Alligator mississippiensis: one gene and its partners. The protein of the gene in region 1 interacts with the protein of each later gene in a biochemical or structural test. Links are inferred from orthologs where the notes say so. Each region holds a gene or a part of one and is shown on either strand. Other genes may lie near its edges. The genes, in order: SMAD1, SMURF2 and ACVRL1.

Region 1 (7,817 bases):
TTAATGATGTTTGTCTGCTTTCTTCACTTTGTTGTTAGACTATGTAGCCACTCTGAAGAGACTGATCATTTTTTCAGGTCAGAAAATGATTAATACAATTTAGTTAAATTCCCCCACAAAATACATGCTGTTTATACAATTCTATTATTTCAGCTAATAACCATTGCAGAAAGAGGTTAACAATCAAGCTGCACATATTCACACATTTCTCTTCTTCAGGCTGTAAGTGCCAGTTTCAAATCCTCTTCGTATCTTGCAAACTGTACATATGTTGCTTTCTTTATTTAACTACTGCACCACCCATATTTGAAGCATAATGGGCTATGCCACAGACGCTTGCTTTGCTGCCCTCATAATATGGTTTAATTATGATGACTGAACTAATAGGCTCACATCACAGACTTTTACAGGTTGACCCCATGTCATCCTGATGTCTCATTTTGCACCAGTACAGTGCTGTAAATCAATTTAAGATCTCCAGCACGTTGAAAAGGCTGGTAATGATGCTTTTTCTGCAGTCTCAGGGGACTCCACATTATACACAACTTACATTATTTATAAAGCTGAGATGATGCCTCCATTAGCCTTGTAAGGCTACACAAGTGAGAGCTTTTATATATGCACACAACTTGGACTTCACAGACCCGCCTACTCTATGTTAAATATAACTGTTTCCAGATTTTTTTTTAATTGAGTTCTACATTTGTTTTTAACATGCACCTATTGACTCAGATTTTAGTACAAAAATAATAAAAAACTAGTTAGTAAAAGAAGCAGCATCAGTTTTAGCAACCTTGATATCACCTCATTATGTTATTCACTATGCCCTGATTACATAATCAGAATTCAAATGCTAGTAATTTATCAGCTCTGTGTTAATATTTGACAGTTAATATTAACACAGAAACTAGAGAACCTCAACCTTCAGTTTATCCAGTCAGTTTTTTTAAATACGTGAGATCATCAGATCTTCAAGGGTACAATAAAAATGGCAAGTAGAGAGGGAGACGAGAGAGGGGGAAAATGTATTTGATTACATACCTAGTGGAAGAAACAGTGAAAACTAAAGCAAGGACAAATCCGTTTAGGGTAACCTGAGCTTCCTTGAACTAATCCTCTCTGGAGGCGGTAGAAGGCTCCTGGATCACCCAAGTCCTGAGAAGTCCCTCTCAAACCCCTAGTTACAGTGCAAGATGAATTGCAGGATTAGAGCCTGAGCACCATCACAAGAATTCCAAAATAGGTTAAGTTTCATTTAGCATAAAGAAAGCCTGAAATCAATTACTGTAGAGGAGTCAAGAAAAAACAAAACAAAACACCAAGTACATAATATTTGTTATGCCAGCTGTGAATGGAGAATCTTATACCAACTGCCCTACACAGATCTCCAGCTCAGATGGATTTATTTTTATGCTGTCAGTTTTAACTGGAAGCAAACCTCCCATAAATTTAACGCACCATAGATGAGACTAAAATCAATTGTAACACAGCAAGTTCCTTCACACGATTCTCATTCATTGGTACAGTGAGGTGTAGGCACTTGGCCACATGAAAAACTACCATAATCAGAGACACAGGTACAGAAGAGTCGTCTCCGCAGCTTGGTGAGCCTCTTTTGAGCCCTACACTATATGATATTCAGAAGTCCCACAATACAGCTAGGTTTTACACTCAAGGAAGGAGCAAATCAAGAAAGACAGAGCTGCCAGATTTTAAGCCACAACCTGCTTGAAGCACAGCCTCTCTTTAAAATGCAATTTTCTAAAGATGTCAGATCCCCTGAATTATCCTCCAATAAACTAAGCACATGCCTAGGAGTAAAGCTGAGCAGCGATCTTTTCTATTTGTTATTGCTCTAGTTGATAAAGGGGGGGGGAGCAAGGGGAAGAAAAAAGAGGGGGGGAAATTAAAAATTAAAGGGTTGGGGGAGCACTTGATTGTCACAAGTTGCACCCATTCTCAGGCACAGCATCTATTCTCCCCCGCCCCCCAAATAAACTTAAATAAAGTCTCTGCCTACATCTAAGCAAAAAAACACTCATGTATGGTGTTAAGCAAGCTACAAAAGCCAATCCACACATTGCCTGCAGATGATAAACCAGTATCAAAGGGCAGAATACAGCAGTCTTGACTGAACCCCAGCCTCCCATCGCCTCCCCTCATCTTGCATACACGTGCATGGCTAAATCCAGCAGGATTTGCCCTGGCAAGAGTGCATGACTGACCGCTTGCATGCCCAGAAACTTGAATAAGAACCTGAGGGTGAGGCAGGGAGAGAAGATGAAGGGCTGGCAAGTCTCATCATCTTGTGAAGCACCAGCACATCAAAGGCAGAGAAGAAAAAAAAAAATAAATAAAAGATCCCAAGGAGAGAAAACCCCTCTGCATCCAGCCCTGCTGAAGGAGAAGCATTTTGTGAGTGAACTCGCCTTGACCTCGGAGCACAGATTCCTTGTGGAGGGGGGAAGGAAAGAGATGAAGGAGGAAAGAGAAAAAGCAAGAGACAACCCCCCCCCTCCAGGCCAGACGGACTAAGCTGAGGGAAAAGAGGAGAGAAAGGTTTTTCTCCCCAAATCAAAACAAAAGGAGGGCAGTGGCGCTGCCCACAACTCCCGCAACTTCCCCACAATGGGGCCAGGGCAAGAGGCGAGGCGTCCAAAGGAGGAGGAGAGGCAGCTCCCGGGCCTCCTCCCAACAAAGGCAGCTCGGCGGAAACCCGGAGCGGTGGCGGCGGGCCCTTGCAGAGGTATCCCGGCATGGCCGGGGTTGAGCAGGAGGCGAAGCGGTCAGGTGAAGTGTAGCTGCGCTCCCTCCACCCACAGCCCGCCCAGCAGCAGCGCACGCACCGCGGTTACCGGGACGGGGCGCCCCGCGCTGCTGCCTCCTCCGCGCCCGGGTCGAGCTGCGCGCGGCGGCGTCACGGAGCCGGAGCCGCCCCGGGCCCTGCACAGCAGCCGCCGCCGGCTCAGGGCTCCGCTCCCAGCTCCCGCCCCGCCGCCGGGAGGCCGGGCCAGCTTCCCCCGCCGCCCGCACAGCCGCAGGGCTGCTCCAGCCGCCGCCGAGGAAAGGCGCGAGGGAGCCTCCCTGCCTGGGGCGGGGCCGGGGCGGGGCCGGGGGCGGGGGCTGCTCCCGGCCGCGGGACGCTGCTCCGGACGGACACACGTTACGGATGTTGCGCGGGGGATCGCGCCATAAACGCGGGCGGGCTGCACACGTCTTGCGAGGGGCGCTGGTGAACTACTTGGGAATCGCTCTGCATGGGTGGCTAGTCCGTATTGAGTGTGTGATTCAGTGCATTGCATTACTGGTTATCGGATAATGGTATGGGAATTACTTTGCATGTGTGGGCAGTCTACGTTTTTTGCAAGATTCACTGGTTAACTACGTGGAAACTGCTTTGCACGGTTGGCTAGTCCATATTGATTGTGTGATTCAGTATATAACCAGTTGATGTAGAGTGCAAAGTAATGACCACACCATTAACTGGCTACTGGTAGCCAGCAATACACCGAATCAAGTAATAAACATAGACTGGCCACCCACGCAAAACAATTCCCACAGTTCAAGAGTCACTGGTTGACTTATGTAGAGTGCCCACACATGCAAATTAATGACCACACCATTTGTTGTGAGATTCGCTGGTTAACTATGTGGCAATTGCTTTGCACGGGTGGCTAGTCTTATGTTTACTGCATGATGGAGTGAATTACTGGTAACCGGTTACCAGCAATTCATGGAATCACTCAGTAAATGGAGACAAGCAAGAGAGCCACAAGTGTAAAGTAATTCCCATGCAATTAACAGGTGAATTATGCAATAAGTGCAGACCAATTGTACCACCAAAGTAATTGCCATGCCATTCTCTGGGGAAGCCCACAATAAATGTAGCTGCAAGGTCGCAGCCAATAGCAAAGGCACCACAGCGCACTTAACCAGCAAATCACAGAAAGTGCTGACTGGCTACAGCTGCAAAGCAAATTACTACTAATTAACTGGTTACTGGTTACCAGCAATTCACTGGCATAATATAAATGTAGACTACCCACACATGCACAGTAATGACTACACAGTGAGTCCCACAATAGGCGTAGACTGGGACACCTGCACAGTAATGAACACAGTTAACCAATGAATCGTGCAATAAATGCAAGCCAGCCACACATGCAAAGTAACTATCACACCATTAAATGGTAACTGGTTACCAGTAATTCACTGAATCATGCAATAAATGTAGACCAGCCACACATACAAAGCAAGTGAGCCACAATTTGAAGGGCACTGCCACACAATTAACTCATGAATTGTGCAATAAATGTAGACCAATTGTACCAGTAATTACTGTTCAACTAACCAGCAAGTCCCACAAGAAATGTAGACTGGCACACATGCAAAGCAAGATGGGCCACAAGTGCAAACTAATTACCCACAATTAACTGGTGAATCCTGCAATAAATTTAAACCTGCCACATATGCAAAAGAATTATCCCACACACTGCTGGTTACTGTTAACTGGTTACCACACAATTAACTAAATCCTGAAATAAATGTAGACCAGCCACACATACAAAGCAAGAAGGCCTGAGGTACAAAATAATTACCATTCAATTAACTGGTGAATTGCACAATAAATTGAATTCCCCCTGCAAAAAATAACACATACACACACACACACAATTAACCAGTAAATCCTGCAGTAAATGAGCAGTGTGCCCTCGTGAAAAAAGTTAACAGCATACCGGCCTGCATTAGGAGTGTTGCCAGCAGATCAAGGGAACTGATTCTTCCCCTCTATTCATGCCTAAAGAAAGGTGTTTGTGCCTAAACGCCTGTAAAGAATAATTTTTCCAACTATGTAGTTGGTCTAATAAAAGATATCAGATTTACCCAAAGAACCTTGTGCCCCTTTTTTCACCACTACTGAGGCCACATCTTGAGTACTGTGTCCATTTTTGTGCCTCCCACTACAGAAAGGATGTAAGCCAATTAGGGAGTTTAGCAGAGACGACCTACACAATGGTGAGGGAGCTGGGGCACATGATGTATGAGGAGAGGGTGAGGGAACCAGGCTTATTTAGTCTGGAGAAGAGCAGATTTGAGGGGAGGGGGGAATTTGGTAGCAGCTTTCAATTACCTGTAGGAGTACTTACAAAGAAGATGGAGCTAAACTAAATTAAACTAAGCTAAACTGAACTGTTCTCAATGGTGGCAGATGACAGAACAAGGAGCAATGGTCTCAAGTTGCAGCAAGGGAAGTTTAGGTTAGATAGTAGGAAGAATTTTTTCGCTAGGAGGGTAGTAAAACACTGGAACAAGTTACCCAGAGAGGCAGTGGAAGCTCTATCCTTGAAGGTTTTTAAGACCTGGCTAGATAAAGCTTTGGCTGGGATAATCTAGTTGGAGATAGTCCTGCTTTGAGCAGGGGGTTGGACTAACCCTACTTTTCTATGATTCTATGAAATGTGAACTACTCACATGTAAATGAGTTGGGCCACAGGTGCAAAGTAATTACCACACAATTAACTGGTGAATCCTGCAATAAACGTAGACTAGTCACACATGCAAAGTAAGACCCTGACAAGTGCAAAGTATTAACTGGTGAATTGCACAATAAATTTAAACTGGCCACACCTGCAAAGTAACTATCACACATAAAATTGACTATGCAGCTGTAAAATTAGTCAACCAGCTATAAAGTTAGTTCTTGAAAGTGTGTAAACAACTCTATTGCTGGTTTCTATTCAGCTTTAATTTGAATGTGTGGCAGGGCCCTAGATGACCTCTACTCTTGGATTCCAGGAACAGAAAGCAGCTTGGCTCATTGCTTATTGTTGCCTTGCTACCCTTAGCCTGTAGCCAGTGTCTGCTTTAAACACACTATGTGATCTAAATTGCATCAACATATACCAACTATGTACCACATAGCTACCATGTGCAGGGTATTCAGTCTCTATGAAACCATGAAAAATAACTATGATTTTCAATGTTCACTCAACAGTTTGAATTGGTATTAATCAATGAATAGGTGAGAGCCAGAAATTACACATAAACCAGTATAAGTGATTGAAAACCAGTTCAAATCTGTAACACAACAGAAGTTCAGTGTACATAAATCACTTTCAGAATGGCTGAAATTGGTTTAAGATAAACCTGGATGGATGTAATATCAGACTTAACAGGTTTAGGTTCAATCAGTTTATTGAACTTATGTACTTCTGTCTCAGATCCCCCTCCAGATTCAAGTTTAGTGTCCCAGAATCCCAGGATGCTTTGCACCTCTCCCACAACCCCCATTCCCTCCCTGCCCCCCTGGTGGGCAGGCTAGCTTTGGCCCAAGCTGTCTGCTTCAGCCAAGGAAGGAGGTCTGTTATAGCACCCCCTCCACTTCTGGCTTTGGGCACTGCAAGGACGTGTGGCTGCATTTCCAGAATCAAAAGTGAATGTCTGTTCACTTGCTTATTGGTTTAATCTACACATCTTAGATTAAGCTATGAAGATTGAATTGATTCTGTCTCTGGCTTCTTGACCATCTGTACTTAGCCATACTAGTCTGGCTGTATATAGTACTTTTCAGCCCCCACCCCTCCCCCCATGTATGTAAGATGTTTTGGACTTCAACCCAACTAAGCATTCCTTAGGGAAATATTGCTGATTCAGGCAAATTAATCCTATTACTTCAGTGGTTCTCAACCTTTTAGGGCTCAAGGCACCCCTTCAAAAGTTCCAGATGTTAGTTTTCACTTGATTTTTTGACTACAGAAAACACTACAGCAATTCTTGTGTTGCAAAGAACTCACAAAGATCACAACAGGATAGAATGCTTTTAGGAAGGGAGTATTATTTGAAATCTGTGGGTTTATTTTGTGAAATGTGTTTGTACACCAGAGAGTGCTAACATTGTGTGGCACCGCGTGGTACACTTGAAAGGATCTCAAGGCATTCCAGGTTGCTGTGGCACCTTGGCTGAGAATCAATGAACTAAACCTATTAATGCAATCAAACTTGTGTGAACGGAATCTTGCCATACTATGGTTATGAATCAAAGGAGCTCCATCTAGGTTGCAAGATTATGCTCCAGAAGCTGGAGTTGGAGCTGATTTGAGGGTCTACATGCATAAGTAATTATAGGGATTTTTCTATTGACCATGTAAGTGCATCACAAATATTATTAAACTCATGCTCCAATTCTGAAATGAATGAATGGGGACCTAAATGTGGGGTAGAAACAAAGGGGTTGTTTATATGAAGATATATTCTGGCATAGCTATATGGGGATACTTATACCTCTAGAGTTATTCTATAAATTTCCCTGTGTATATAAGCATTAGGTGTGATATTAACTTAGCTTTAAAACACAAGGGAGATAGAGGCACAGAATAGCCAAGGCTTTATAAATTACAGGAATAAATTTTACTTACTCACATATATAAAAATATTCATAAATGCCTGTAAAATAATCTCCCTAAGTCACAAAAGGAGTCTGTGGCAGAGATAGGAGTAACAGTCAAGTTTTCTAGCCCTGGACCTCTGCCTCAAGAGCATGCAACTTCCTAACTAAACTTCAGCCATCTCTTTGGTAAGCAGGCATGCTATTAGTACACCAAATATACCACCACAGTGGCAGAAGAGGGAATTTTAAGTTACTTGGTCAGCTCCCATACTAAAAAAAAAAAAAAAAAAGCACCACAGTCCCTTTAATGACATTGCAAAGCAGCCAAGGGCTTTCTATTTAAAAAACAAACAAACAACAGGACCAGCTTGATTTAAAGTTTGTATTTTAAATAAGCCAGTTCCTTTATCCATTACCTCTAGCACCTTAA
Region 2 (8,014 bases), on another chromosome or scaffold:
AAAGTAGCTTCAAAATTAGGGGGATCTAATTGATTAGACAGTTTACTCATGTAGAGGAACAAGATAATTCAACAGGGAAAAGGGTCATTATTACCCTTAGAGTGAAGAGAGGTTAGCTGAGATAACAGGTAGACTGTAATGAGTTATAAAGCCATTATCTCTGCTTAGTCAATAATTTTTAGTGTTCAGTAAGCTTATGGATTTTTGTTTCCAGGCCCATCTTTCAGAGGTTAAATTTATCTATTCTCTCTCCCACCTATATTGGTCTAATAAAAAGTATCACTAAAACCTTGCCTTTCATACATATCTTGGACCATCACATCTACAATACCACCCCAACTGTATTATAATACCAATGATCTCCTGCAGAGCTAGCAAATACAGGAGGAGATAAAATGACTGTTTTCCTCAGCCCTTCCTTGTCTGTAAAACACCGAGGTGGCATCCAGGTACAGCAAGATATTATAACGAACGCTAGCTAAAGGTTAGAAAATTCATAGCAAAGCTAAAATTCAGTTCTAAAATTAAAATAGGTTAAACAAACTGGATACACCACAAGTAGTGGTTTTACATTTTGTCTTTTTTTTTTTTCAGTTTTGCAGTGGTCAGGTAATGTTGCTATATTAGCAAACTGACTCCTGTTTGCTTTATATAGCCACTTTTAGAAAGTATAATGACTTGGCCATTTCAATTTGCAACAGATTGACTTTAGTCTGACCTTCAATTATCTAGACTGAATGTCTGCTGTTTAAACCCCCCCCCCCCCCCCCCAAATGCCTTTGTGGTACTATAGCTCCATTGAATGGTTTCTAGTAATATTGTACATTAGCTGCAAAATTAGCAGACCTATTGGGACTTATTTGATACAAGGTTTGAAGTCAAGGGGGGGTGCAGAATCGAATCCAGTTTTCCCGAATCTCTTCTCCTCTGTTCTAACTCCATTTTTCAATGAGCTGCTTCTTGTTTACAGCACAGTGCATTGCTTAACGTGTCACTAGGAAGGAAGAAAGATGCATCTTTAGCCTGTATCAGCTGACAATGATTTTTGCATTATATGGTCATTGGATAGAGGTAGTCTTGGAAGCAGAGGCTGTAACTGAGGACCCTCCCTTCCCAGGTAAGTGGTTATGCTTCTTTTTCTCTGACCCAGTTCATCTTGTATACTTTTCAGAAGTTAATAGCTTCTTCAGGATAGAGAGGGCCCCACCCAGAACTGCATGGACAGGCAGTCAGGGATGTGGTTTAAATATCCTTTGGCAGCAAAGAGAACTGAATGAATCTTCCACTTCCTGGACAAGTGTTTTAACCGCAAGGCTCTAATAAGAGGGCAGCAGCAATGCTCTAAAAGAAAGTGGTGGTTTCTGCCAGTGTACGTGAGGATGCTGAAAATACCTACCCACCTAGCTCAGGGGTAGGTATGAGCTAAGCACTAGGCCCTTCTACCCTCTCAAGCCTGGGACAGTTCTGGGAATGAGCAGAAGTGCAAGCTCTAATTGCGTGGGCACTCTGACACTATAAGGCACTGTGGCATTTAATCACCGCCAGTTAGGTGAAAGAAGGGTTTTTTTTCCAGGCTCTGTCTTTTTTTTTTTTTAAGTTAGTGTTAAATTTATCCTAATATTCCATTCTGTAATGTTTTAAATCTATTGTACGATGCCAATCCTACATTGAGATCTGTTAGTGCAGACCCCCAAGCCTGTGCCGAGCCCCGTTAAATTCCAGAGAACTTCAGTATGGTTGGCAGCTAGTAACTGTTGGCCTGACATCGGGTCTGATCCAAAGCCTATGGAAGCCAATTAAAGGAATCCTATTTACTTAAATGGGCTCTGAATCAAGCTTTTCCAGAGATGCTGAGCACCTCTAAATGTCAGGCCATGAGTTATCTGAACAGACAGTTTTTAAATGTTTTTGGCACTTTCAAGTACTTTGGCCAAGTCAGACATGGAAAAAAAATGTTACTTTTATACTTCTTAGAAACTAGAATTTCTCAAGCAATTAATCAATCCAATTTTGTACTGTTTGAAAAGAGCTATTATGCATGCAAGTTTCATAACCTTTTTAATGATGCAAAGAACCAGACATCTGAAACCCTGCAAATGGAAGAGCTGCAGCATTTTTACTGAGGTCAGCGTGACCCAATGGAATTACATCAATAGCAGCATCTCGTACAATGTAGAACTTATAATTATTCCACAGATAGCACGCGAGGAGCACCCCGAGTGTAAAAACCTCTTCTTAAAGTTCTCGTGTAGTTCCCAGACACATCAAAAAGGCATGTTCAGGATCAATTTACTATGCAAGTTGTAGGCTGAATTCGATGAGGAAGAGTTGCTTCAAGGAACATATTCCCCAGAAGCATTTTGCAGTTTTTGGCAGAAATCATTGTTGTGTAGGGCATATGTACTAGCCAGCAACTTTTTGGTGTTTGTTTCTTATTTTTAATGATCACTCGATCCTCAAACCTAACAGACTGCGTGGGTTTAAATAGATATATTATTAATTCCGTTGTGGCATGATATGCTAGGCGCTCTCTAGACATATAAGGAACAGACTGTCTTTTTGTTTTGTGTTTGTAGAGCACCTACTACAAGGGTCCTGTGCTGTGACTAGTGCTCCTAAGTGCTGTGATAATACAAGTGATACTGTGGAGTGCCTCAGCAGAATGGGACCTATGTCACAAAGCCCTATTAAACTAGCTGTCTTGGAAGACGTGTCAAACATAGGCAGCGATCTCCTACTTGGCAGCAGAGGCATTGGGTGTTGGCTGCACTCAAGGCTGGCGACTTTGACTGGGCTGTGCCAACGTTCCTGCTGGGACAAAAGCTGGAGGTTCCTGGCTAGCGGGTCTTGCTCCTTCGCTCAGGGTCAGACCGATCACTATATTTGGGGTCAGGAAGGAATTTTATCTTGTGTTCAGATTGACATAGACTGTGGGGGCTTTTGCTTTCCTCTGTAGCGGGGGGCATGGCCCTCTACCCAGGATCACTTGAGCATGCATTGACAACGCTTCATAGAAGAAGGATGTTGGCTGCTGTGGTTCCTCTGCTCGGCCTGTGGCAGGTTAGGGTGCTAGGTCTGCACTGTGTCAGGGTTTGCGGTAGGGTTCAGATGATTGATTGCACAGGGTAGTTTGGATAAGGATGATCCTGCCTCAGGCAGGGGGTTGGACTAGATCAGTGTTTCCCAACCAGTGGGACTTGAAGGTCATGTAGATGGGACTTCAACTCATTGCCCGATTGAAAAAAATCAGTTGTTTGCACGTCAAATAGGTGAATCAACAGATGTCTCCAACAGTGCAATTTTGTGGGGTTTTGTTTTTATCGTGGTAGGACCAGGGTTTTTTGACCAAATGGTTGGTGGGGCATAAGGTGCAAAAGGCTGAGAACTGCTGGACTAGATGACTAGGGACCTAGTTGGACGAGGGACCTCTGGAGGTCCCTTCCAGCCCTCCTGCTCTATGATTTGGTGATCGTCTTGAAATGGACCTTTTACGATCATCCCGAAATGGACCTTTTACAAAAAGCTGAGATTTATTTCTTCTTGTTAACTTGCCTGTCTGTGCCCTGCTGCTATTGTAGTGCCCCCTGGTGCGCTACAAAGCCTGGACATTTCTGGAGTAGTTCCCGCAGCATCTGGAAGACGGAAACAAGAAGTTAAATTCGAATATAGACTTGGGATGCAAGCCGATTCTTATCTTTTTGGAGAACGGTGATGGCATATGGGAACTATCTTGGCTGAAAATGCATCTACATCGCAGATAAACAGTCTAAGCCCGAACGGCCCAATGACCATACACAGCCCTTCCTTCCCGCGATTTCCCAGCTCCTCCAACAGTCCCGCTGACCTGTGGACCTACTGAAGGAGCCAGGGACCCCTCAGTCTCCATAGGGGCACTTGCCTTTATATCGGGGCCTGTAAAACCCTTTTAATTTTGCATCTTTCCTTTTTTGAGATAGAAACCCGTGCCTCCCCATCTCCCTGTTGATTGCAAACATCTTCCTCCCATTTCTATGTCCCGGGGAAGTGCTTTATAGCCAGACCTCCCCTCCCTTCCAGCTAGGGTGGCCGTCATCGAGGACAGTCTGGTTGTCCTCTATTGATACGAAACCCGGCGCCTTTATGTCCTCTATTTTTCTCTTTGAGGTTATTTTTCAAGAGAAAAATAGAGGACATAAGGGTGTCCGGTTTCGTATCAACAGAGGACGGAGGTCAAGTGTCTGTCGTAGGGCGGCCGTCATCGAGGACAGCCCGCTCGCCCTCTCTTGATACAAAACCGGACGCCTTTATGCCCTCGATTTTCCTCTTGAAGAGCCACGTGAGATTCGCCCGTTCCTTCCCTTTCCAGCCTCAAGGAACGAGGTTGAAGTTTGGATGCGACGTTTGGTACAGAAAGGTCACAGGCGGCTGTCATCAAGGACAGCCCGGTTGTCCTCCATCCCCTATCAATACCAAGCCGGACGCCTCGACGTCCTCTCTTTCTCTCTTGAAAAATCATCTGGAAGAGAACATAATCTTCCAGAGAAAAACGGAGGACATCAAGGCATCCGGTTTCGGTATCGACGGAGGACAGAGGTCAAGCGCGGATACGACGGTCAGTACGGAAAGGTCACGGGCAGACGCCCGGTTTTCCAAAACCAATCTCGAAGAGAAAAACGGAGGACACGGAGGCGCGGGGTTTGGCACCGACAGAGGACGGAGGTTGAGTCTCTGTCATCGAGGCCAGCCCGGTCGTCCTGTCTCGATGCCGAGCCCGACGCCTTGATGTCCTCCGTTTGTCTCTTCGGGGTTATTGTCTCTTCAGGATTATTTGTCAGGAGAACAGCGGGGTGCGGGGCTGGGGGCCACACGGCTGCACCCCCTCCCCTCCCCTCCCCCACCCCGGGCAGGGCGAGGGGCAAGCGGCGGTTGACCCCGCCCCCCAGCATGGGAGGGGGCGGGACGGGGGAGGGGGAGGTGCCTCCTCCTCCTCCTCCTCCTCCTCCTCCCCGGCGCCGGCCCCGCTCATGGCGCCGCTGGGCACATCCGGGCCTCTCCTCCTCCTCCTCCGGCCGCCGCCGCTGCCCTGAGCGCCCCGCGCGACTCCATTAGGCCGGGCCCGGCGCGGGGCGCGGCGGCGACATGTCCAACCCGGGCGCGCGGAGGAACGGGCCCGTCAAGCTGCGGCTGACAGGTGAGGCGCCGGGCCGGGCCGGGCCGGGCCGGGCCTGTGGGCGGAGCGGGGCGGGGGGGGACCCGCCGCGTGAGGCGAGCCGAGCCGAGCCGAGCCGAGGGCCCGGCCCGGCGGAACTCGCCCCGAGTGCGGCGGCCTCTTTTGTCCGGGCTCCCGCCGCCTGCCCCCCACCCCCAGCCCTGTCACTTCTGCGAGTCCCGGAAAAATTATTTAAAAAAAAAAAATAATAATAATAATTTAAAAAAAAATTGTTGAATCTGAGGAAAAAAAAACCCAAAAACAAACCCCGGTTTTATTTTGTCGGCCCGTTTCGTGCAGTCAGAGCAGCCCCGCTCGCGGCCAGCTCGTGTCGCGCCGCGGCAGCCAAACTCCTCTGAACCCGACTGGGGCAAGGATTTTGCGAGCGAGGGGGTTTTTTTCCCCCCCTGAGGAGGAAGAGCGAGTCTTTTTAAAAAAAAATAACCTGGAAAAGTTTGCAGGGTGCGGGGGAACCCGTGTGTTTTATTGAGCCATTTATTTAAAACAATCCGTGGATCTCACGAAGGAGCCGGGGCGTCCTCCTCTCCTGCGTAAAGACGCCGCAGAGGATTATGAGTCTGGGCAAAAAAAATAAGCCGCGGGGCGCCGCGTAAGGAAGCCGGGCGGGCGGGCGGGCAGTCCGCAAAAGGAGTGTGCGTTTTTCGTTGTGTTGTCTTTGCGTTCGCTTTTTAACGAGCCCAGAAAGACGAGGGCAGGAGATAGGGTCTCGAACGAGCATCTTCCAGCGTTAGCAGCTGTCCGGGGAGCGACCGGAGATGTTTTGGGAAACGTCGGCTTGTCTCGGGAAGGACCATTGGAGGGGATGGAGGTATTTTGGACCGGGTCTGCTGTAACCTGGTTGAAACGTCGCGTCGCTTGTTATAAGGAAGTTGTACGCGCTTTGGGAAAGTTGTTAGAAGCACTGAATTGAATGGACGTGTTGTCAGGTCTCGCGTCTCTTCCCAGGCAAGTACTCGGTGTGGTTTTGATGGTCCTTTTCGACTGGGAAAAGCAGCGCAAGGACCCTTGAGTGCTCGCACTGACTGGAGTTAAAATGCATATGGTTTTTTTTAAAGTAGTTTACTCTTCAGATCTGCCCCATGGTGTATAATCCTAATTTTCTTTGTCTTTATGAAACTAGCAGTCTTCTGTTTTGGCTTGAACGCTTCAAGGATTCATTCGATAATCAATGTGTAATACTGACTTATTTTCTGTTTGTTATCTCTAAATGAGATGGTATAAATGAAAAAAAATGGATTTCAAGAACTGGATTCAATTAGCATTTTTTTTTTTTCAGGACATAAACATTAAAGGTTTAGATAGAAAACATAGTTTTGACTGACTGGATAAATGGCAGGGTAGTGTTTGATGCGAGTCCAAGAACTGATCTGGAGCTAATGCCCAACCTCTTGGTCCATCTCGAGGAGCCAAATAAAATATTTAACCTAGGCCTCGTTTTGCAGAAAAGGTTGATTCTTTGTTGGGACCTTAAGTGAGTTCTGAGAAATGTTTGGCATACCTTTACACTAAGTGTTTAACGGTTTATTTAGGTCTGGGTTCCAGAATAGAGGAAAAACCACTGTGGTGGCATACTTCTAGTAAGTTTGTATTTAGCTTACAGTGCATCCCGGCTGTTTCTTCTGTTGCTTTTAGCTTTATTTGTATGTCATAAGTATCCCCTAATCCCTTAATGACACACATCGGAGTCTCAGGCACAGCCCTGAGCCAGAAAGTTGCTGGATAGTAGACAGTTACAAAAATCTGCAAAAGTAGCCTGGTGAAGATTTCTCATGAGAATAATAAATGCTGGATTTCATTAAGAACGTAACCAGTATAATTCAAGCTAGTGTCAGCTCAGAAGTTGGTCATAGGTTGTGTATGTAACTGTGTTTCCCAAAGCTTTCCAGTCTTGCTACCACTTCCTCAGTTCTGTCCCTTGGACCAGTAGAGTAGACTGGGCTTCTGCAGCCATGGATGTTTTTTGCCAGTTTTATCTAGTCCTTAGAACACATTATGCTGCACTGATTTAAAGACTCCAGCTTTCCCCCCACTTCAGTTTTCTGATGTGATTTATTTTTTATTTTTGTAACTAGTCAGAACTTCCATGATTTCTTGAATGTGGAAGTGAATCTAAACTACTTGAAAACTGGCTCAAGCTGAAACTTTGAGTTTTCGGTTGGAATATACTATTACAGTAGGAATATCACAATGTTTGCTTGGAATACAGTATTAATACAGTGCAGTGTGGGTAGGGAGAATCTTTTATTCTTTGAGGACTAGACAAGCATATTGCATACAGCTGAAAAGTTGGTTTTCCAGTAGTGTCCAGTAAGTACATTTGGGCTGTAATTTATGATTTACCTTTTAAAATAGTAAATGCAGTGACTTTAAGTGCCTTTACTTAGGGATATATTTGGTAGCTATGTTGGTCTGAGACAAAAAGAAATGCAAAACTCTCTAGAACTCTTGGTTCAGAGATGATATCTTTTATTAGCCCAACTAAGAAATCGCCAAAAAAAATCTTTTTGTACTTGCGAGGAGAATATCAATCAAAATGACACCAGTAATTTTTGAAACCTAGAAAAAATCACAAAAATGTAAGTGAAATCTGTTAATTATTGTGGTATAACCTCATACATATTGGGGAAAGGTGACGGACAGACTGGATTGATCACCTTTGCATAGTCCCTTGTGGTTACTTGCCAACTTGTGTGGTATTTGTGGCATAGCATAATTGGTAAACTTTTCCAGAGAGAAAACTAGAAGTAGAATAACAGTCCCTTGTGGGTTAGGAATGAGAAACAATTCACACTGGACAGTCTGGGG
Region 3 (8,034 bases), on another chromosome or scaffold:
CTCCTTCGCAGAAACTGCCCCGCCAAGCCTCACGCACTAACCGCCTGGGCCAAAAGGGGTGACATTTCCTTGTCTGGGACTCCTTGAACCTTGAATAAATAAATCAAGGGACCAGCTTCTCCGGTTCTCCCCAACTGTTCGAGCTCCTTTGAAGCCAAGGCAGCTCTACTGGTTTACAGGGCTGAGAATCTGGGTGAAGATAATCGGAGATAAGGTTTCCAGAGCAACCTTAATTCCATCTCTTCCACCCATGTGCCGCAGCTATTATTTATAGTGCAACAGTGTGCTAAGCATGTAGGTGTTATGTTAAGGTGCCCTGTATAATCACATAATAAGGCAGGGCAATGCAGCGCTCTCCATGGAAGATGCTTATATGAGGCGCACAGATGAACTGTGCTTCATTAGAGCTCCTTTTAAAACCAAGGTGCGCTCGGTGCTGGCCGAGGGCAGCTGTGCTCCAAGCCTGCAAGGAGACAGGGCCGGGGAGGCTGGCAGCCCTTTCGCTGCCTCTTCTTGACCTCCCGTCCCTGCTCGCTGTCTCCCCCAGACCTTGCCGCACCTTTGGGCAACCCAAACGTCACCTGTCTGCGAGGGGCTGTGCTGGGGACCGGTGTCCGAGGGAAGGCCCAGGGGACGGAAACCCCTTCTCCACCGCGCTCGCACTCCACTGCCCAGCCCTGACCCGCAGGGATCGTCTCACCCCCTGCCCTGGGCGGGAGAGGGATGTTCAGCTCCCCTCCTCCCCCTGCCACTCTCTGGGTCACAAGCCCAGCACTTCCTCTGCCATTTGCGGTTCTGGTTACTTCTGTGTTTTTGGAGCCAGGATGCAGCTCCCATGACCCAGTTCCCTATTATTTTTCCCTTGGAGTCAGTGGCCACGAAGCCCCCCCGCAAGCAATGCCGGCCGCGTGGGCGTGCATGGTGGCGCCCTGGGGTTGCTGCAGGGGGAAGAGACGACTGATCTGAGAAGGTTCCGCGCCGTGGCTCCAGGGTTGTTTCCAGGGGTGCTGAGTGGCCCCAGTCCTGCTCAGGCCCTCCACAATCAGATCCCAGGCTCTATGGACTCGATCAAAAATCCTCCCAGATCCCTAGGGGCTTTTCTGTGGACCACAGCGGGCTCTGGAGCTGCATTAGGGGATCCCGTGAAGCAGAGACATCATCTTCCTCTGGACGTTCCTGCCCTGCAGGGGTCCCGTCCAGGGCAAGCCGTGCTCCTGAGCAGGAGACAACTTAGTGCCTGGGGTCAGGGCCCGATCCGATCAGGCTGGACTTCTGTTCCTAACCTGAGTCTCCGACGGTGGCTTATTGCGCCCTGTGGGGACCTTCCTGGGAGGGCTGGGAGGGGACCAGCAGGGCAGAGCTGTGTGCTCCCAGGCTCTGTGTCCTCCTGCAAGACGGGCACGCTCAGAGAGGAGGGTGAACAGGTTTGCCGGCTAAAGAAGAAGGGGTCGAGCGGCCTCTTCCCACCCATTGCCTTGTTTTCAGTCTTTCTGGGAAATACTGATTTTCTCTGAGCCTGGACGAGAGCAGGGGAGACTTCTCCGAGCCGGCTCTTGGATGGGGCTCAGCACCCTGCAAGCTCTTTGCAAACAGAAGCAAATGGCTTCTCGAGAGCTGCCTCCATGGCATCTCCGAGCTCCTGCACTCACAGCCGCCTCTGCTCTGTGGCCAGAGGGCCAGGACCAAGCCATGTACCCCAGCCCGGGGGCCCCAGGACTGGGCAATGCCTCTGGATCCCATCCTGCCCCCCTCTGCCCCGTAGCAGGATCTGCAGCTGCCGCAAAGGCTTTTGTCCCGCGCTGACTCAGTCTGTGGAGTCACTCGGAAAGGCACAAGGAGCTTCAGGCTTTTCTGTCCCACACCAAGACTATGCCATACTATACCATGCCATGCTATGCCACGCCATGCCATGCTATGCCATATGAATTTCTATGTCCTTCATCATTTTCCTCTTTCAGTGACTTCACCCGGTCCCGGTCCATCATTCCCTACCTTTCTCCTGCAGCTTTTCACAACATCCCCACAACATTCGCTGCCCCCCCAGCCTGCCAGCAGCGTAGCTGATATCTAACGTTGTTAGATATGATCTCACCTCCTTAATGAGGGAGCGGGGTCCGAGTCTGAGCTGTGCTGCACCAGTGCAAACCCGGAGACGTCCCGCCGACTTTGCTGGAGCGAGGACCAGAGCCTGGCCCCAGCGGCCAGAAGCAATTCCAGCACTGCTGGCGGCTGCTCTGGAGCTGAGGACGGAGTTATGCACATATGTCACACATGAGCAAGCCCAGGGGATCTCCATGCGGTTCCTCCCTTGGGGTGGATGTGAGGGGCACCTCGGTAATGAAAGCCCTAGGGGATGCCATGAAACAGCACTGGGTAGCGTGCGACCCAGGGAGTGATGGAGGCTGTGGGGAGCAAATGCAGGCCCGGGCCTCACTGGTGGACACCAGGGAGCTTCAGGGATGCCAACCCTGATCTGGCCCGTCTGGATCTGAGTTTTCGCTCTGGGGCAGCAGCCTCGCACCCGCCTCAAAACCCAGTGTGCGGCGCATTCACACTCACCTGCAGGTGGTCTTCCCTCTCCTGGATGGCACTGTCTGGGGCAGGGGTGCTGCAGGGACCCCCAGCTCTGGGGGCTCTGCCCGCCTCTGCGGCCGATGGGGCTGGCGACTCTTCCCAAACGCGAGCCTCCGCCGGTAGCAGCGCCCGGGACATTCACTGGGCTCACCCCGGGCCGCTCTCCCCTGCGCTATGAGCTCCGACCTGAAGCAGCGTCATGGGGCAGCCCCCTTCCTCCTTGTCCCCTCCTGGCGTTGCAGACGGGAAGCGGGCAGGGCAGGGTAGCGGGCTGGCTTTGGTGTCCCGCCAGCCGCAGCTGGGGAGTGGGGTGGTGCGCCTGGACTGCCTTTCCCAGCCCCAGGGGGTCCGGCCTCCGTCCCCGTGTCCGAGCGCGGCTGCTTGGCAAGCTCTCTGAGCCCTGGATGTGGGAGAAGTCAAAAAATGTTTCTTATTACTGCCTCTTCCTGCCTGGCTTGTCTCCACCACTCCCAGCTAATAAAGCATTTCCTATTGCTGAGCACAGATCCCGTCCAGGCTGCCTTCCTCCCGCACACACCGGGCCCCAACTCCATCCTGACTATGCCCCGGCTTCCTGGGCCTCCCTCCCTGTCCTGCCATAGGCTTGGCATGGGATGGGCGGGTGGATTTCCCTTGCTTCATTTTCAGACCCAGACCAGCCACTTGGACAAAGGCAAGCACATCCAGTCTCTTGAAGGAGCAGATGGGGCGCAGGGGACTATGGCTTTGGCAGAGACAAACCGCCCTCCCCTCTTGCACCCGCGCTGGCTCCTGGGCTTGCAGCACTGAGGGGCCCCATGCTGCAGGGGATGATGCAGAGCCACGCTCCCAGGGCCCCGGGGTGCAATGGGATGTGCTGAGCTTCAGCAGTGGGGCAGAGGCTCTACAGTGCCCCGGCATGGCCTTGCTCCTGTGCCGTGGACTGCAAGGGTCCTACGTGGGTGCCAAGAGGGCTGGGTAGGTCCGTCACACTCCGTGCCCCTCGCCAGCCCCAGCACCACCTTTGCCAGAGTCCGGGTATTAAACCCAGTGTCCTCTCGGAGGAAGGAAGCACTCCCCGCCTCCCCCCAGATGTGCCGTGGGCTTTGTGGCGGAGCTGCGGCCTGGGAACCGCGGACAGGGGCTGCCTGGGCCCGGAGACGCCGCTTCCCCTTTCCATGTTTGAGTCACGATTGTGGGTCAATTGGTGTCTTCCCCATCTTGGCCTCCTGTTCCTCTTCCTTGCTCGCACTCGAGAGCCCCGGTCCTGGCTTCAGCCATCCCGGCTGTACCTCCCTGGCCCCTAGCCCCCAGCAGCAGGGTAAAGAGGGCGGCAACAGCAAAGTGGGCATCACGCTGTGCGGGGGAATGAGGTCACTAGGACGAGCCCCACGTGCGCACTAAGTCACGCTTCGAAGAGCAGCCCAAGCCTTGATGCTGCCTGGACCCTCCCCGCGCAGCGCGAGGTGCAACCATTTACCCTCAAGTCCTGGACCCCTCTCCTTGATGCATTACCCCTCAGCCATCCCTAGGGCTAGGAAGGGAAGCCAGCAGTCTGCCCCCACCATCATCTGCTGTAGCTACTACCCAGCCCTCCCAAACAGAGCAGGGAACAGAGCCCGGGAGTCTGGACTCTCCCACGGGCAAATGCCCCCTTCTCACCGGAGCCCTGGCACAGCACGGCCGGCCCCGCACTTCTCCTCTCTCTTGCGGATTGCTTCAGACTTAGACTTAAAAAGCGAACAACAGGAAGCACCACCAATGGCTCCATGCAAGCCTTGTCCGTGAAAGATGCTTGTATATTTTAGCAACCGGGAGATTTCCGGCCAACGGCAGGTTCAAGGGTGGGGCAGCAGGGGTAGGAATCTCATGGCTCTGTGGGATGGGAAACGGGCAGCTTCAATCTGATTAGGGAAGGACCGGCTGCCATGCCGCCAGGGGAGGAAGTCTGCGCCCGCCCTCGCAGACACGTTATCGCTCTCACCATCTCTGCTCCAGTCCCGACTGTCTGACACCGGGCCACCCTCCCACTGCCATTTCTGGACAGCTCACGTGTCACAGGAGCCCGTGCAAGGGACCGGGCATGTGGCCTTGGCTTAGGGCCGTGGCTTTCAACCTCGTTAGACTCGAGGCCCCGTCAGAAAACGCCAGGTCCGAGCTTCCGCTCCTGTTTAGGCTACAGACAAAGAACAAAACCACTCTTTTGCTGCAAAGACCTAGAAAGGCCCCAACAGGACTGAAGGGTTTGAGAGCTCAGGATTCCTCTGGGCACCCTTGAAAGGATCTCACAGCGCCCAGCAGGCTGTGAAGCCCGGTTGAGAATCACTGGCTTAGGGGCGCGGAGATGACCAAGAGCGTTCGCCCAGCTACAGCGGCAGGCTTGGGGCCAGCAGGCCCGAAGGGAGCGGGGTGGAAAGGCTGCGACTGCCCAAATGTTGCCTCGCAGCAGGCCAGTCTCTACCCAGAGCCAGCACCTCCTTCCTCCCCAGCCACATGCTGCAGCTGACCCTCCTCCCACACACGCGGCCAGAGCAGAGAGAGGATGTCGGCTCTTCTGTTCGTCCCGCTGCTCTATTTTTTAACAAGGACGGGCTGGGGGCGGGGATTTCCCTGTTCTTGATTGGAGGGCTAAGCAGAAAGAAGACTTTTCCCAAGGAGCCCCCAGGCTGGAGGAGTCGGCAGGCTTTTTTTTTTGGACATTTTTTTGTGCACCAGGTCAAACGAGTTCCAAATCCTTGGAATCAGCCAAAAGTCTTACATGGCCCGACCATCGGCAAGTATCCTCCACCAGGCTGCAGGCTTGCAGGGACTATGGCCAGCGGCAGGCAGTCAGGAGTGACTGCAGGCTGCCTGGGAGCCCTGGGCCAGCTGCAGAGGATGATTAGGTGGCCATAGGAGGGCTCCTAGGGAGAGGAGCTGGGGGTGGAGGCTGAAAGAAGGGGAGGGGGTTTGGTTAGCGAGGGCAGAACTGAGCCAAGGACTCTCCCAGGGTCTGGCAAAAGACCTGGAGGCAGCAGCACCACGAGGCCGGGAGAGGGAATTCGCCCAGGAGAGAGAAGGAAAACTGCGCGGCGGCACTGGGGGAGCAGCACGAAGCCAGCAGCTGGTTCTCGGGGTCAGGGCAGAGGCCTCGGGACTGTGAGTTGCCCTGTGTGGGCTGTGTTTTGAGGACTGGCGTACACTGATTTCTGTGCAGCAGGGTTGCCTGGGAATAAATGTGGGGTGAGAGAGTTAAGCAGACTGTCGAGCTAAGCATTGACCCCAAACCCGCTCCACCCCCCGTCTGGCGTGCAGTTCCCAATGGGAAGTCGGCACGTAGGGAGGGAGCCGGCAAGGTCCGGACTTCACAGAAAGGACAAAACTAGCCAGGGGGGCCAATGCACCCAGGGCATCTCCCAGACACCCCACTGTGACTCCTCATGACCTCCACTGGACCATGGGGACACCAAGTCGCAGAAGGGGGTTGCTTAGTTCACTGGCAGCAGAACAAGGCCTCGCTTTCAACCTGCTGCTTTCAATCCCTTGCGATTACGTTCAGGGGTGCAACCCGAGCCCCGGGGTTTGGCTCTTGGGGTCCCTGCTCAGACCTGTGAGCAGCCAGGCTGGGCCCAGCAGCAAAGTCCAGGTACCTCCACCCTGCCGAGGCTGACCTCAGGAGATGCCCACCACCGCTGTGGGGTGCAAAAACGCCATGGGGAAAGCACAGGGCATCTGCAGTAGCCTCCCTAGGACAGGGACATTGGTCTTCTTCCAGAAACAGCCCCTCCTGAGTGCTTAGCGGTGACTGCTGGAGAGACTGCGAGGCTTGAAAGAAGTCGGGGGCAGCTAGAATCGGGGCAAAACGGATCCCCCAGCCCCCAAGCAGCCTGTTCCCGCCGGCGCCTTGCTCCCCCGCCCCCACCGTTGGAACGCGCCTGGCACTGCATGTGCGGAGCGCCGGCTCCCCTGCTCCATGTGCTGCCCGCCCCCAGTTCAGATGTGTGCCGAGCCGGCGAGCTGGCACCAGCAGCAAGCCATGCGTGGAGGAAATGAGAAGCGATGGGCTGGCCGGGGGCATGCAGAAGCACCTTCCCCTGGGCACCCTGTGCCTTGCACAAAGCCCCGGACACCCCTGTGAATTGGCCACAGGCATCTTGGGTGGCCTGAGGGCCAGGGCAGCAGGAGGTGGTCCTCAGGCCACCAGGCTCCTGAATTCGGCCACCCCTCCCTGCAGCGCCAGACCAGGCTGAGTCCCCTACTGAGCGCCAGCCCCCCTCCCTGTGTCTGGATGCTGGCCTGGCCTCACTGGCTCCAAGCTGAGCCAGGCGCTGTGACCGGGGACCTGCAAAGTGTCCACGCAGGCAACAATGGGCCTGGGGGGCAGTGCCCCCCATGACAGGAGCCAGCAGTGACAGCAGTCAATGCCTGCCTCCAAAGCATGGGGGGCAAACTGTGGGTGGGCTCGGGGCACTGCCCCTCTTCTCCCATGTCTACCTCTCCTCCGGCCATGGAGATCAAAGGGCTCTGGGACTTCATTCCTTATTTGCTTGGCCGGGGGATGCAGCAGCCCGGCTTTCCTGGGCCGCAGGGCTTCCCTGCTGGCCGCAGCCCCGGTGTCACCTTGAGCAGAAGGAGCTTTGCAGCCTGTCTGCATCACCTGGAAAGGCCTCAAGTGGCTCCAGCTGCCGGGCCGACAGGTGTGTGGACAGCTCAAACATGTTGTGAACGCAGCCTGGCAGGTGAGGCAAGGCGTGTTGGAGCCGGCAGTGAGACGCCATCTCGGCACAGCCTGCAGCGCTGCCAGGGACTGTGCCAGCAGGCCTGCCAGGCTCCAGCACCCGGGGTGGGGAGCAGGGTGCTGGGTGGTTATGGCAGGGAGTCGAGGAGCCCGGGATGTTCCCAGAGCAACAGTGAGAGCATCGCATCCCGTGGGCACAGGGCATTGCACGTGGGGCACAGGGTCGGGACTCCTGGGTTGTGTTGTGCACGGAGCTGCCACGTGACTTGGCATGGCTGATGTGGCTGGGGCTGTCCCTGCTCCGTCTGTGCTGGTGGGGAGGGGAGGTCTGCAGTTCTGGGCAGTGAGTGTGACTGACCACAGGTTTCCCGGGGCAGGAACCGTCCCTCTTCTCCGCAGCGGGGGGCCGTGGGGTATCTGTCTAGGGCTCGCTGAATCTCCTCTGCTCTGCTGCCTCTGGCTTGGATGGTGGTGGCTGGTTCATTTGCATTGAGCTGTTGGGGGCTACTGCAGCTGGGGGGATCCTCTCCTCTCCACCTGTGGCCAGGCCTGCCCTCCCCATGCCCCTGGGCTGGCTGGGGTAACCCACATGGCATTCCTATCCTGTGGCTGCAGGGCACTGCTCATGGGGGACTGTGCCCAGACATGTCCCCTCCTCTTGCAGCCCCACAGCAGGAGCTGGCCCCATGTCTTGGCCCTGGCCCAAGGGGCACAGTGAGTGCCCTGCAAGCATGGCTTGCCCACCTCCTTGGGCTGTGGGGTCC

Evidence for each region.
Region 2: the proteins of SMAD1 (region 1) and SMURF2 form a complex in vitro, tested with the Homo sapiens proteins (2 studies listed by BioGRID and IntAct, with this or other methods). The link is inferred for Alligator mississippiensis from reciprocal best matches to the Homo sapiens genes SMAD1 and SMURF2.
Region 3: of the proteins of SMAD1 (region 1) and ACVRL1, one has a biochemical effect on the other in vitro, tested with the Homo sapiens proteins (2 studies listed by BioGRID). The link is inferred for Alligator mississippiensis from reciprocal best matches to the Homo sapiens genes SMAD1 and ACVRL1.

What each region holds. Positions count from the first base shown.
Region 1 is NC_081825.1:101,104,991-101,112,807, forward strand, and holds the start of SMAD1 (mothers against decapentaplegic homolog 1), read right to left. Parts: upstream 3,050-7,817; 5' UTR 2,856-3,049; exon of another isoform or gene 2,847-2,855; intron 2,683-2,846; exon of another isoform or gene 2,257-2,682; intron 1,152-2,256; exon of another isoform or gene 1,042-1,151; intron 1-1,041. UniProt on the Homo sapiens protein: Transcriptional modulator that plays a role in various cellular processes, including embryonic development, cell differentiation, and tissue homeostasis.
Region 2 is NC_081831.1:6,313,989-6,322,002, forward strand, and holds the start of SMURF2 (E3 ubiquitin-protein ligase SMURF2), read left to right. Parts: upstream 1-4,976; 5' UTR 4,977-5,118; coding exon 5,119-5,170; intron 5,171-8,014. UniProt on the Homo sapiens protein: E3 ubiquitin-protein ligase which accepts ubiquitin from an E2 ubiquitin-conjugating enzyme in the form of a thioester and then directly transfers the ubiquitin to targeted substrates.
Region 3 is NC_081838.1:6,394,108-6,402,141, reverse strand, and holds the start of ACVRL1 (serine/threonine-protein kinase receptor R3), read right to left. Parts: upstream 3,080-8,034; 5' UTR 2,560-3,079; intron 2,241-2,559; 5' UTR 2,093-2,240; intron 1-2,092. UniProt on the Homo sapiens protein: Type I receptor for TGF-beta family ligands BMP9/GDF2 and BMP10 and important regulator of normal blood vessel development. On ligand binding, forms a receptor complex consisting of two type II and two type I transmembrane serine/threonine kinases.